Linked DNA regions of Alligator mississippiensis. The protein of the gene in region 2 purifies or fractionates together with the protein of the main gene of each other region. This does not show direct contact. Links are inferred from orthologs where the notes say so. Each region holds a gene or a part of one and is shown on either strand. Other genes may lie near its edges.

The links. The genes of interacting proteins can lie anywhere in the genome.
Region 1: the proteins of SHCBP1 (region 2) and RACGAP1 purify together in Homo sapiens (affinity purification with mass spectrometry; 8 studies listed by BioGRID and IntAct, counting the BioPlex papers as one, with this or other methods). This does not show direct contact. The link is inferred for Alligator mississippiensis from reciprocal best matches to the Homo sapiens genes SHCBP1 and RACGAP1.

Annotation. Positions count from the first base shown.
Region 1 is NC_081838.1:5,804,013-5,810,964, reverse strand, and holds the start of RACGAP1 (rac GTPase-activating protein 1), read left to right. Parts: upstream 1-3,943; 5' UTR 3,944-4,008; coding exon 4,009-4,093; intron 4,094-6,952.
Region 2 is NC_081833.1:55,531,074-55,538,521, reverse strand, and holds the start of SHCBP1 (SHC SH2 domain-binding protein 1), read right to left. Parts: upstream 3,007-7,448; 5' UTR 2,959-3,006; coding exon 2,838-2,958; intron 610-2,837; coding exon 439-609; intron 1-438. UniProt on the Homo sapiens protein: May play a role in signaling pathways governing cellular proliferation, cell growth and differentiation. May be a component of a novel signaling pathway downstream of Shc. Acts as a positive regulator of FGF signaling in neural progenitor cells.

The sequences.
Region 1 (6,952 bases), on a different chromosome or scaffold from region 2:
ATTGCCATGGCAAAATTCAGTGGCACGCCTGTTCATTTCTGACAGCACATGTTTGTGCCGTGGCACACTGGTGGGGAAACAGTGGGCTACCCAACGGCGGGCTACAACACGCCTTGTGCCAGGCACATTGCACTCCCATGGGTGTGCCCTCGGTAACATTGCTCTCTCTCATCTCTGCTTTGGGCAATAGAGATAAAATAAAAGATATTGAAATAAACTCTCAGCCAGACTTTGATAATCCTACGCTGCCAGTGCACTGGGACATCGTCTTCCCACCAATAGCTCGGCTTCCCTCAAGATGCCTGGTGTGGTCCACCCTTTCAAAACCCTCTGACTTGTCCTTACTTACTCGATGGCACGAAGGACGGTCAGCACAAACACCAGTCACTCACCACATCTCTGGCCCTATAATCAGTCAACCAGGATTTAATTGGCCACATCGTATCCGGTTAAATTATTTCCATCTTCCTCGATCCTCCTGGTTTTTTTCTCAATCTTCCCGGTCTTCTTCCTCGATTCTCCCAGTCTCGGGCTATGGGCTGAGGAGGGAGAGGAGAATCGAGGTAGTCAACCAAAGACTGTGGCGCTGGTGTCATCGGGAAGGCTTTGGCTTCCACGATCACAGTCTGCTCTTTGGTGACAAAGGCAGTGGACTGCTGGGAAGGGATGGCCTCCAACTCACTCCGCTGGGGAGGAGGCTCTTCTCAGTCAGACTGGCTGACCTGCTCCACTGGGCTTTAAACTGAGCCCGCCAGGGGATGAGGGGACCACCACCACTGCAAGCTCATTGGGCTGCTTTTGCAAACCCAGAAGGCTAAGGCACTCAAGGGAACCTACCCCTACCCAGCCCCAGAGCGAGCCATAGGGAAGGTAAGGGCCCCCAATGGGGCACTTGCATGCCTGTACACCCATGCCAGGAGCTTGGGGAATAAACAGGGGGAACTGGTCCTCCTACTAAACCGAAAGGATTATGATCTCATAGGGATAACAAGACCTGGTGGGACTCCACCTATGACTGGGCCACAGATATAGATGGCTATGCCCTGTACAGGAGAGATCGAGTGGACAAAAAGGATGGCGGGGGGGTAGCTCTCTATGTCGAGGAAAGCTATGCATCCCTGCAAGCTGCCATTGGCACCCAGGATGGATGACTGGAGACTCTCTGGGTCAAAATCCGTGGCGAACATGGCACAGGGGGACACAATGGTGGGAGTCTACTACAGATCTCCTAGCCAGGATCAAGAGCTTGACCAGGAATTTGCCAGGGAACTGGCCGAGACTGCACGCTCCCGGTGCACGGTTCTTATGGGAGACTTCAACTACCCAGGCATCTTGTAGGAAGAGCACTCAGCCACATCCAAATGGCCGCAAAGCTTCCTCCTGTGTGTGGATGAGCTCTATCTGACTCAAGAAGTCTATAGATCGACGAGAGGCAAAATGCTGCTCGACCTGATACTAGCAACAGGGGATGACTTAATCAGTGCCCTAACGATAGAAGGGAAGCTGGGAGACAGCGACCACGAGCTGATCACCTTCACCATCCACCGTAAAGCTGGCAAATCAGTCAGCAAAGAAGAAGTCCTTGACTTCAGGAAAGCTGACTTTGATAAGCTCAGGAGGTTTGTTGGTGAGGCCCTAAGGGACCACGACCCAAAGGAGAGGGGAGTTCAGGAAGGGTGCATGCTCCTCAAGGGAGCAAGCCCGGAAGCTCAAGCAATGTCTATCCCATCTTGTAGGAAAGGCAGCAAAAGGGCACAGCAGCCCCCCTTGCCAATGCAGGGAACTAGAGGACCTCCTGCATCTAAAAAGACAGACCTACAAAGGATGGAGAACTGGATCCACCTCAAAGGAGGAGTACTCTGCACTGGTCCGGACCTGCAAGAAGCGAACGAGGAAAGTCAAGGCTGCGATTGAACTCCAACGGGCTACACATATCAACAAAAATAAAAAGTCCTTTTTTTTAGATATGTGGGGAGTCTTAGGAAAAGTAAGGGCAACACTGGACAGCTGCTAAACCACGTGAGTTAATGGACAACCAGGACCTTGAGGCCCAGGGATGGCAAGAAGAGCTGAGCCTGCCTACAAGTGATAGGCATCCTTGCCTTTCTCCTGCTTTCCCTGACCAAGAATTGAACCTGGGCCACAGCAATAAGAGCACCCAACCCTAACCACTAGACCACCAGGGAAGGGCCACGGGGCCTCCGCGGGCTGAGCTGGACAACGGGAGTGCCTCTGGGGCACAGGCTGCAACTTGTGGTGGCAAAAGTCAGGGGTCGGGGGCGGCACTTGCCTTACACAGATGGCGGCCAGGGGCGGGCCTTCTGTCAAGGGGCGGGGCTTCAAGCTGGACGGCAGCTGTAGCCCTTCTACTCCTAGACCAGCAGGGAAGGACAGGCCAGCGCTTGGGCTGAGGCCAGGAGCGCTCTCTCTTGCCCTGTGCCATGGGCTCGGGCCTGGCTCTTCCCCTGCACGGGGTGCTGCCACCCGAGGGGGAAAGACTCTGGCGTTCACACCGGCGAGGAGGGGGACTCCAACTCCCCGCCTGTGGCATGCAGCACAGTCGCAGGCAAGGGGAGGGAGGCAGGGGCATCCTTGCCAGGATGGCTGAGTGGTCTAAAGCGCCAGGCTCAAGGTCATACCCTTCCCTCGTCCTGGGGGGTCCTGGTCTCCCTTTGGAGGCGTGGGTTCAAATCCCACTCCTGGCAGCAGCTTTTGGCACTCAGCGTCAGGCCGGCCTATAGCAGGGCACCAGGAGCTGGCGTCCCAGGGAGGCCAGCAAAAGCTGAGCCTGCCTCCAAGTGGGAGGCCTCCTTCCCTTTCTCCTCCACTGCGGGCTGGGGATTCAAAAGCCGGCTTTCCCTGGCTGGGAATCGAACCCAGGCCGCGGCAGTGAAAGCGCCAAATCCTAGCCACTAGACCACCAGGGAGGACACGGGGCAGGCAGCCCTGCCCTGCCCGCCCGCCTGCCTCCATCTTGCCTCCTGCCCTGGCCCCAGGCGCCACCCCCCTGGGGCGCAGGGATTTGCTCAAGGCAGGTCTCCCAAGCCCTCGCTCCAGGGCCAGCAGCCTTCCCTTCCAGCCCTGAGCACGGGGAAAAGCTGGCCCTTCTCCACCGGGAAACAATGCCCCTGCCCACAGCCAGGGCAGGCCCCCAAGGACCTGGAGGCCTGCGCGGGGGGCGGGCTCTTTGGAGGGGCGAAAGCGGGGTGTGCCACGGAAACCAGTGCTACACCCTGCCCTGTGGGGGACTGGGCACTGGGGGCTTCCTCCTTGTCTGGTTGGTGATTGGCCAGGAGGTGAACCGACCCCCCCCCCCCCGGTTAGCCGTGTGGCCTTGGTGTCCCGCAGGAGAAGGCACCAGTTGCCCGTGGTGATGACAGGGCGTTAACATATCTGAAATAACGTGTCGTAACTGGATCACGAAGCGCGCACAAGAGACCTAAAGCGATCCGGAGCTGTCCTGGAGATGAGGTGTTTTCTGAGACCAACCAGGTTTTTGCAAAAAACCCAACCTGGATAACGGACAGAAACCTTCATATTTCTATCCCTCACTTGCAAATGCTGTAAAATGGGGCCAGCCCTAGGTAAGTGAGGAGTGTGTGTGTGATGCAAATGAATTAAATCCAGCTGATGTCGTGTTTTTTTTTTTTAAACAGCGCCGATCACGGCACAATCACTGCGCAGCGTGGTGCGGTGCGGAGCGGCTTCTCCTTTGCGCGGCGGAAGGCGGCTCGGGACTGAGCTGCCCTTAGCAAAGATGGCGCCCAGCTTGACTTCAGCGCGTTTCCTTATAAAGATGGGTGAAGCCCCTCATGCCCGTACTAGACGTGGCGTCTCCTTTTGACGCCGTTGCGTTCGGGGGAGGTAACCAATGAGCGGCAGGGGACGCCGGGAGCGGCGCTGTGATTGGTGCCCGGCGCGGATTCAAACCGTGGGCGGGGCGGCGCGCGGGCTGGTGCCGGACGTTGCGGGTGCGGCCGTGCGGAGCCGGCGTCGGCCCGCGGGAGCATGGAGACCGCCGTGATGAACCTGCGCAATCTGCTGGAGCAGCTCCTGCGCCAGGCCGACCTCCTCAGCGAGGGCAACGAGCTGCGTAAGTGCGGCGGGGTGGGGAGGGGGTCACTGTTAGGGGACCCACGGGAGTTATGCAAAAAAAAAAAATAAAAAAAAATGGAGATTAAAATTACAATTAAAAAAAAAATCAATATGCAAATGTAGGTACAAGTCTCCGGGCTCGGGCCTGCGCGCCCACCGCAGGATGTGGCAGCGTGTGAAGCCCCTGGAGTTGGGGCCTGCATGTTTGTGGACTGACCCGTGGGTTTCCCCCAAAAAATGGACTTGGGAAGCTGTCCAGTGCCCTAAATAAAGCGCGATCCGATTTAGCACCTTTAATTTGACTTTTTTTAGTCAACCGAACTAAAAAAAGTACCCCTCGGGTTAATTTTACGTTCAAATAGACACAAGTATTTGAACCGAAATATTCGATTGGGGGGGAAAAAAAAACGTGAATGCAGCACGCTTCATGTGGTTTAAATGTTATGTTCAAAGCTTTGGGTGGGAAGAAGTTGTTTTTATTGGGATCCGTGTCAAAAGGTCCAGAGGGGAAATCGCGGGTCCTTCCCTGACCTGGGTTGTTTAAATTTAAGAAAAACAAAGCGCGAAGCGAGGGCACGGAGGACTCCTGACACGCTGATTTTAACACACCCGAGGAAGCGTGCGTGACGCGCCGTGCTTTGGTTTTGATGTGACCTGCGCAGCCAATTAAGTGGATTCATAATTTGGGTTTTGGTTTGGGCTGTTATGCGAGTGTACTTACTCTCCTGTTTACAAATCAATAAAACATACGTTACATACTGTCTCTCGCACTTCCTAGGGAAAATCCCCTGGAAAATCTTAATTGCAGCTTTCAAACCGCCCAGCTTGCCCAATACGGCGTTGGCATCCATTCGCTGTTACTGATGAGTTTGACGCAACCATGAATTTTTAGAAATGGAAAATTTCCCATGGACAAATAAAGCGCTGGCAAATTTTTCCGCTCCGCGTCTCTGTGACTGACTCACGGGTTTGGTTTGGACCTGGAAAAATTTTCCTTAAAGTGCCTAGTGTAGGCAGCCCAGCTCTGTTTGGCACCCTGGATTTGGGATCTGTTTTGCTCCATGGGAGCCTGAAGGGACAAGGTGAGGCCTTGGAAAGGATGCATCATGACTATATTTGAAACTTGGTGTCTACCTAGTTCATAAGTAACAGCTGATACGTTTTGTTTTGTTTTTTGTGGGCCGCATCTTGGTCACCCCAGCTTTTAACTGTTGGCTTTGAGAAGTAATGCTTGCCACTTGTTTTTGCAGATCCGGAGGGTGCTGGGGAGAGTCAGTACTTTGACACTGGGGGCTATGGGTTGTGGCGGGGGAAAGCTTTGGCTAGAAACCGATTTGTGAAATTTGCTCTGGTTGTAACTTTGCAGGATGACATGGGCTTATTCCCTTTAGGGAGGTGTTAAACAGCTAAAGCAAATTGGCTTTTTACTTTCGAATCAATAGTTGTATACTTATACAGCTGAATGGAGTTGTAAGACCAGGCATCCATAATACTGCTCTACATCTGCGGGAGCGTATTGCAGCACTCCTGAATTTATTGTGGAATGTCTTTCTGGTGCATTAATCGGCAACCTTAAAGTTTTATCTTTTTCATGTTGGTTTCATAGCAGTGGATTTGTGCTGATATATGTTAACCTGTTAGAAAGGCCAGCTTTTTACTTGGAGTTGCCTTAACGTGGCTGCAAAACTCACCTCATGCCCTGGGTCGGATCTGTGGGTCTCCTAGTGGGCTGGGTCCAGCCCAGGGCTTGAGGCAGCTTGGGCACGAGGCATATGATAGTAAAGTCTGTTTGAAAAATGATATAATTGCTTGAGTGAATAGAATCAAAGCCTCTCTGCAAACTCTTGTCCTCCTCCTGGGTTGGCTAAGAAGTTGGTTTGGTACCTTTACTTAAAGAAAGCAGGAAGAAGCCTTTCATTAATGAATAAAGGGATGCTTTATTTTCTTTGCTTGCGTTGTTCACTAGTGTTTGTTAGCCATGTTAGTTTGGTGGATGCTAGGATAGAGTCGGCATGAGCTTTCATAGGCAACAGTCTGTTCTCAGACTCTGTGACTGGAATGGCAGAGAGAAGAATGTATTAAAAAAGAGACGTGGGGAGGAGAGGTAAGAAGTGGGTTGATTAGATCAGTTGGCATGAGCAATGTAGATAACACGTGGAGGGGTGCCAGAGTTAACAGCCAGCCCAGGGAAGGAGAGTATAATCCACAATTGAACCATTCCCAGCGGTTACTGATTAGGAGCTGGTTCACAATTGGTATAGGTCAGAGGTCCACAGACTTGGCCCTGGAGGGAGAACAATTACCTTTTAGGCTTTGAAGTGCTGTTGGTCTGACTCCAGGTGGTAGGAGTGACCACCCAGCCCAGAATGCCCCGTTGCAGAGTGGGTGGGTGTGCTCACATGTGTGCTTGTATCTATGCTTTGGGACTCCCAAGGAATGTGGTTAGGGGAGTGTTTTCACTTTTTTTCCTTTTACCCTAAACATGAGTTCAATGAAATTTTAGTAGCCTGTACTTGACTGAAACCTGCAGTGTGCTGGGGGGGATACCTGGACTAAGGGTGCACAGCTAAAGATTTTCTTGGCTGATACTGATAGCCAATGATTAATCAACCAGCTGACATACCAGCTGATGCCAATCTGATAACTAATGTTTAGTAACAGTACAAGGTGTTTTAAACTGCTGACATAAACCTTGTATTTGTCTGTTATGCATTTATCTCACACATGCATGTGTCCTGCTTGCTCTGGCCCTTGTTGAGGAAGGCAGTGACCACCTTATTCCCTTGCATGTTGCTCCCTTGCCCATGGCTCCTACCCACAGCCCTGCTCCCTGTGCTGCTGTCCTGCAGGAGTGGGG
Region 2 (7,448 bases):
AGAGAAGAGCACCAATTCTTTCACAACACAGCCTCCATCCTTCAAGTAGGCTGGTGGTGTTAAATAGGTGCTGAAAAAACTGTACTGTTTTAACTAGTCTTATTAAAATGATCTTATTTTCAACTGTTCAGGTTTCACTCTCTTGTAACATAAGATCATTAGTTTTCTAGTTCTCCAGCCCAAAATCTTAATTATGGCATAGTATTTTTCATGGGAGGCCATTAAAAGCCTAGGACCCGTTTACAGCTCAACTTGCTCATCAACTGATCTTTCCTTCACCCCAATACTAAACCGGATCCTCTCTACTCGGCATGCTCTGGAGAACTAAGTTATTAAAAAGAAGGCTATATTATCTATGGATATAAACTGAATCACCTGGAAAAGTCAGTCATTACAGAGACTGTGACAAGGAATCTCAATACCAAAAATGTCACTCACCCAAGATGTAATCTTGATATGCTTTAAATCTCTCATAAAACAAAAGGTGATTTGTTTCGAAGGTGTCTGGGAAAAGCACATTCCCATTTGGCACAAACCTTCCTAAAACGGTGCCTAGTTTGTCATGACTCCCATAATCACTGCAGCTGTCATCCTCTTCCTGGCAGGAGCCTAAAGGGAAAAAGGCACAGTTCACTTAAGTACAATTCATTCTTTCATGACTGTTTCAAGGAGCCAGTGCAGAATCCATCGCATGCCTCCCACTACCACACTCCCTTCTGCAGCAACATGTACGCCTCCCAAAAAAGCTACTCCCTAAGCACTGCATGCAGACACTATCAGCATGTTTTTAAATTAAGATCACAAGCAGTACAGAACAAAGCAAAAATATGTATAGCTCTAAAAGCCTCTGTCAACACCACACACACTTTATATTAAAAACATTAGAAATGGTGAGTTGGCAATTCCAGGATTTTGCTGGAGGCAGCTAGGGACCTGTATGCCATTACACTTAACATGAGGGGCAGAGTACTCAAAGAAGTCACCATCCCTCTTCCCCCAAAAATGTTCATTAGGCACTGACAATGAGGGAGGTCAAGACTGACAAAAAGATTTCCCTAAAACCTCTTCCCTTCAATAGCCCAGCTATGAAGCTGCAAGACTGACTTGTGTGCAAAACCAGCAGTTTTGCCTACTTTCCACTGCTCTAAGCCATTTCTGCAGCAATGCCCGATCCCAGATGCTACAAGAGGTCTGTGGGATGGTAGCAGGCCTACCTGAACCATGGTCAACATAAGAATACACTAAGCATGTGGGAGAAAGAGCGGGGCAGTGACTGGGCAGTGACTGGACACTGGACTTGGAGCCAGGAGAGCTAGGTTGCATTTCCAAATTAGCTGCTGACCTTCCACACCACCTGATGTAAGTCACTATATTCATGCCTCTCTCCCTACACACTTTGTCTATCTTGCCATTTAGATTATGTTTTATCTTGGGTTTTTACAATGCCTGGTATAACAAAGCTGATCTCATCTAGATGCTAATGCCATACCAACAGGCTCTTGCAATACAAGCAAACCAGCTGCCTCCACACACCCAAGCGCAGCGAGATATTCTGTGCAGACCAAACAGATCCTTGTGAATATCTGTAGCACAGATAAGCCTATAGCAGAGGCAAAATCTTTTCAAGCCTTATGTTTCATAAAAGGAAGAGAGAACACAAGCTCTTACCCTGTCCTTTGCAGACAGCTACCACATGAATCATTTTGGTTCTCGCCCCAGCTAGTAAAAGTGAGTCAGTCAACCTACTTTTTGAGTAGCATACTCCATTTCTATGCCTTTGGTTTTACAGTGTTTAAACAGTGAGGCATGAAATTAACTTCGTTAACACAAAATACTAAGTTTTGCTAAATCCTGGTAGCACCGGCCTACCGTAGAACTGGCCCGTGTATTAGAACACAGGACTTTACTAGCCACAGAGCACCCAAGTCCGACTCACCTCTCAGAAAAGCAAGAGGTGCTTTTGAAACTTCCTTAAAAAAATAAATAAAAGAGAAACAAACAAAACCTCCTTCCTCCCTCTGGCAGCAGATATTTTCCTCCCAAGCCAGTAAACAGCAGAGCTTTGTACGCGTCAAGCCAAGTTTCAAGAGCTGGTCAGACACTGGGCAGGCATGGTTTAGTGGGGGATGTTCCTGCCTTGAGCAGGGGGCTGGACCAAGCGACCTCCTGAGGTCTGGTCCATACGACCTAACTTGCCACAAGCAATTGTTATGAGCCAGTTCCATGTTGCTAAACCCGTTTGAATGGAAACCAGGCCGACTTCCTTCTGAAGAACTTAACGCAGCCACACTCGCTCTGAAGACGCCGGCATGATCAGCTGGGTCGACAAGCAGCATTGCTAGGGTACAGGGGTGTAGGCTGTAGCCGTGTTGGTCTCAGGACAGAGGCAGACAAAGTTCTTTGGGTAAATCTGATCTCTTGTATTAGGCCAACTCACATAGCTGGACACTTTGACTAGGGCCTGCTAGAAAGGCTTTGTCGCAGTGTATCTCAGACAGAGGCGTCAGGCACATGGTCCGCGGGCCAGCTCTGGCCCCTGAAGCTGCACGATCCCACCTGTGGGTCTCGGGCAGAGCCCGTCTGGATCAGTGAGCAGCGCCCGCGGCTCAGGGGCTGCCCCAGGGACCCAGCCCCGCGCACCGGCTCAGGCTGGTCCGGATCGCGCTGCGCCCGCACCGGCAGGCAGGACCGGGCCAGCAGGCTGCCGGACCGCGGATGCAGCCGCTGAGAAAGCTGCTGGAGGGCCCCGGCTGGGCGGCGCCCCCGGCCCTCCTCCCTGCGGGAGCCCGCTGGAAGGCAAAGCCCTGCTGGGCGCTCCGGCCCGGGCGCTGCCCTACCTCGCTGCACGGCCTCCGGCTGCTCCCCGGGCTCGGCGCTGCCGCTTGCCGCCGCCGCCGCCAGCTCCTGCTCCTGCTCCTGCTCGCGCTCCTGCTCCTGCTCGCGCTCGCCCTCCGCCATGGCCCGGGCTGCTCCCGCCGCGCCGAAGCTCGGAGATTTCAAACTTTCGCGGCCGACAATCCTCCCCTGACGTTAGAGCCAGGGAGCATTCTGATTGGTCGCGGGCCCTGAGGGAGCCAATCGGCAAAGGGCAGGGAACCCTACAAAACGTTGAGACAGGGAGAAGAGTGGTCAGTTGGGAAACGTGCCTCTGTGCGCATGCATACACGTACACGTAAATATACGTGTATACGTATATGTGTGACCAAATATTATTATTATTACTTTATATATTATGTGAAATGTGTGTATTGCTGTAACAATATGATTTATGATATATGAATGAAGTATATGTTGTTTTATTATATATAAAGACAGTAACATCTGGTAGTGCACATATATACACAACCACATTTTATTATTTTAAAACTGTATATAATTTGGTCATGAGCAACTAATTCATTTGACTTTCACAGCAGGGAATTTCCATGTGGGATTTAGGAAGGTGACACCAGCTCCTGCATACCTAGTATCAGTACTGGCCTTCAACCAAAAAAGGGAATGGTATTTTTTTTTCCTCCTTTTTCCCTACATTCAGTCCCCAAAGACAACCCAAGCAGGGTGTGGGGCCCCATCCCCGGACACAAGGAAGCCGGTGGTGGATTTGGCAGCAAGGGCAGGGCAGGGTGCCAAGCGGCTGGACACCATTCAGCGGCGGATTCAGTGGTGTTGCCGAGAAGCTGGACATGAAGCTGACAACAGCATGGAGTTGCCGTGGCCACTCCACCTGGCTTCACCCCAATTCGCCCCCCTTCCCCCCCCCACCAGAGATGGCCCTGTCACTCCCTAAGAAAGGTCACATTCTCCCTGGGGAAATAATGGCTGAGGAACGTTGCTTTAGTTCAGGTGACATAACTTCAGCCCAAGTTTTTTGTTTTCTCTTCCCCGATGGGTGTGTATAAATCACCTGTTTTCCTATCACAGGGGTTTCAACCAATTTTAACAAGCGTACCTCTTCTCTCTCAAAGTTCCAGCTCAGGTACCCCTTTATATTTTTTCTCACTTTTAAGCAAGGGGAAGGAATCAAGGCCCCCCACGGTGAGGGAGGGAGTAAGGCTGGGGCTGCACAGCTGGGGCAGTGTGAGAGACAGAGCCACAAGCGACTCGTTCAAGGGGCCCAGGGAGAGGGGTGGCGGCTCCTGCCGTTGCGCACACCCCTCATACTTAGCAGCTGGACCCAGATGCTCTCCTGAACACGTGATGCACTGCAACTGTGCATACACACAGCATTTATCAGCAACGTTAGATCTGAGTACCCCCTAGGACCTTTTTAAGTACCCCTAGGGGTACATGTACCCCCAGTTGACAACCACTGTCCTATCGTATAGAATTTATTTTCAATATTTATTCAAATATTGCAATGCACAACACTCAGATTTCAATATTTAGGTCGCTGGGTGCATGCCTGTCTACAAAGGGATTAAGCAATTTGCTTGAAAAGTTCTGTTTCTTATTAACATGCTGCCATTCCAATTACAGAACAGCCCTTGCATTTTTGATATATCTGAGTAGTAGTCATCCCTTGAGAGTGGTTCCAGAAAGCAGCTAAGATGGCAAAGTACTCAACCAGGAGATTTTAAAATTAAATTAATCTGTCATAAGTGACTTGTCACAGCCAACTCAGCTAGTCAGATCAGTTCATATAGGACAAATTCAGGACAGCTAACCAGAATGGGAAATATTCCTTTTTTAATAAAAGTAGACTGGAATTCAATAACTCATGCTAATAGGGGAGTCAATCAAGCACAGCTAAACAAATGTTAAGAAGACACTCATCTTCACTGTATTAAAAGCAAAAAAAAGGTGCTACCTGCACTTCTAGGTCTAATCAGTGACCTTACTGCATTCACCAACATGTTAAGCACATGTGTTTTTCCTTGTGGATCTCATACTAGCAAAATGTGCTCCTTGCTGGCATATTCAGCACTGAATGCTACAAAAATAATGAGAAAAGGGGGGATTTGTGTCAGTGGGAGAAAAAGAACACTGGCTGCACAAAAAACTCCTTCCCTAGCACAATTTCTGGGTACAGTTTTTGCTCAGAGAACAATTTGGAAATGGCTACAGCCACAATTGCAAGATTCTTTTCCAAACCAGCATGAGTGCTGCTCCTGTGACCAGAGTCCCAGAAGAGCTCCTTCTATAAATGAAGACATCTCAAGTGAATAACAAGCAAACTAAAAATAATGGGCCAAAACAAACTTCTGGAGCAACAACCTGATAACTGTATGAGTCTGAAGATCTGATAGGCCATTTGCTTTTATACCGATGCAAGTGTGGAAATGCTACCAGATCAGAATGTAACACTGGAGATTTTCTTTGTGCTGAAAAGACCAAGTCAAGCAACAGAGAAATAGAAAAGGTGGCCCTGGTTATCCAAGTGCCTCCTACTACTGTGTCTTCAGTTTTGCTTGTTTGCTTTGCTGTTTGGGTTTTTTGTTTTGGTTTCCCTCCCCAGACATATTGTTTTATTTATATTAAGACCTGGGCTTGTGAAGACTTACACATTGTGGCAGAAATGCCACCGTGGGTGCCCCTCTGCAGAGACCTGTCTCAGCCAGCCTGGGAGGCTGGTGTTTCATTCCTCAGGGTGGGGATCTCCCACCTGGTCTATGTGACAAAAGCCTGGCGCCTGGGAGGCAGATGCTCTAGTCACCTGGGCAGGGCGGAAAGACCCGGCCCTGGGGCCCAGGTAGCCAGGGATGCTGGGGAGATTGGTCGGCTTGTGGCCAGTATTGGCAGCTTCAACTGGACCGGGCTGCTGAGGTCAGAGAGGTTATTTAAGGGCTCGGTCCAAGAAGAAGGGGCAGTCAGCCATTAGCCATGCGGTCATCCAGGTGAATCTGAGCCTGGCTCTCTCCTCATCACCGCATGCTCCAAGAGTGCACTGCCTTCAGAGGATACAACAACTACCTCTGGACGATGAGAGTGAGTAAGCTACTAAAGATCCGATTAGATATTTAGTTTCAGTAACTCAGATGCGTTTAAACGGCTACCTCAGCCACCCTGGTTTGCTCAATGGGATTCCTTTGATATTCCTGTAAGATTTCTATGAAACTGCTCTACCTTTTACCCTGTTTCCGCCCTACCCCCTGTAATCAATAAAGTTCTCCTTGTGACCGGTGTGGGAGACTTATTGAGGGGTGGGTCTAAATTATGCCAAGGAGGCCCCTTAGGTCTGTGGACTAAGGGAGACTTTCCTAATAAGCCCCTGATTTGGGGAAGTGCCCCAAGTGCTTGTATTGGATCTAGTACCCATTGGACGATCAGGCCTGCGTTCTCCAAGGCGCGCAGAGCCAGAAGTGAGTCCAGAGCCTTGGATGGTGGCAGCGGGACCCCAGGCTAGCGGGTGTGCTCCAGGGAAGGGGTCGGCCGGGCGGGAGGCACCCTAAGGGAGGCACTCGGAGCCTGGAAGGTGGTCGGGCGCGGGGAGGTGGGCGGCTCAACGCAGGAGCGCCCCTACTGGCCCGCCACACGTGGTGGCAGAGGTGGGATCCGAATACCCTGCTGTATTAGAGGCATAATTTGGGGAAAGGAATAGAGTCACTGAAATCCCTTGAGCAAACAATTTCTAATTTGACATCGGGTCGACTGGATAGGGTAGAGAGTCAGAATGGCGGACGAGTATGTCCGGATGACTGTGCCCGAACTGAAAGAACTGGCAAAAGAGAGAGGCCTACACGCGATGGGAAGGCTAAAGAAGGATGAGCTGGTTAAACTCTTGTGCACCAGCGAGTCAGAACAAGTGTCAGGTTCATGCTCGGCAAGTCCTGAGCCTGACCCAGGAACACCCTCCTGCTCGTCCAGCCTGGAGGCCGCCAGGAGATCACCCTCTGAGAGGGAGCGGCAGAGACTCCATGAGATAGAGCTGAAAAGGATGGAGTGGGAAGACAAGAAGGAACAACGACGGCTGGAGGAAAAACAGCTGGAGGCCCAGCGTGAGAAGGAGCAGATAGAATTGAAAAGGCTAGAGCTGGAGGCCCAGCGCCAGCGCGAGAAGGAGCAGATAGAATTGAAAAGGATGGAGCTGGAAGAGAGGAGGTTGGAAAGGGAAGCCCGGTTGGAGGCACAAAAGCTGGAGGCTCAGCTCCATTTGCAGACCATTGGGGGAAACGTGAACCCTCCGCAAGCGTCCGGGGAACAGCCCAAACTGGATGTCTCCGCCTTCGCTCGCTACCGAGAGGGAGACGATCCTGCGGTGTTCCTAAGCAACTTCGAAAGACAAGCCCAGCGGTGCAAGGTGCCGGAGGAAAAGATCATGATGTACCTGTCTGCGCTGGTAGAAGGTGACATGGCGGTGATCCTGAACAGCCTGCCCCCAGATGCAGCTGATGACTATAATGCCTTCAAAGCTGCTGTGTCCAAACGGTTCAAGTTAGGACCGGATTATTTTCGGAAAAAATTCCGGAATACGCGCCCACAACCCGAAAAGTCATTGAATGATTATGCGG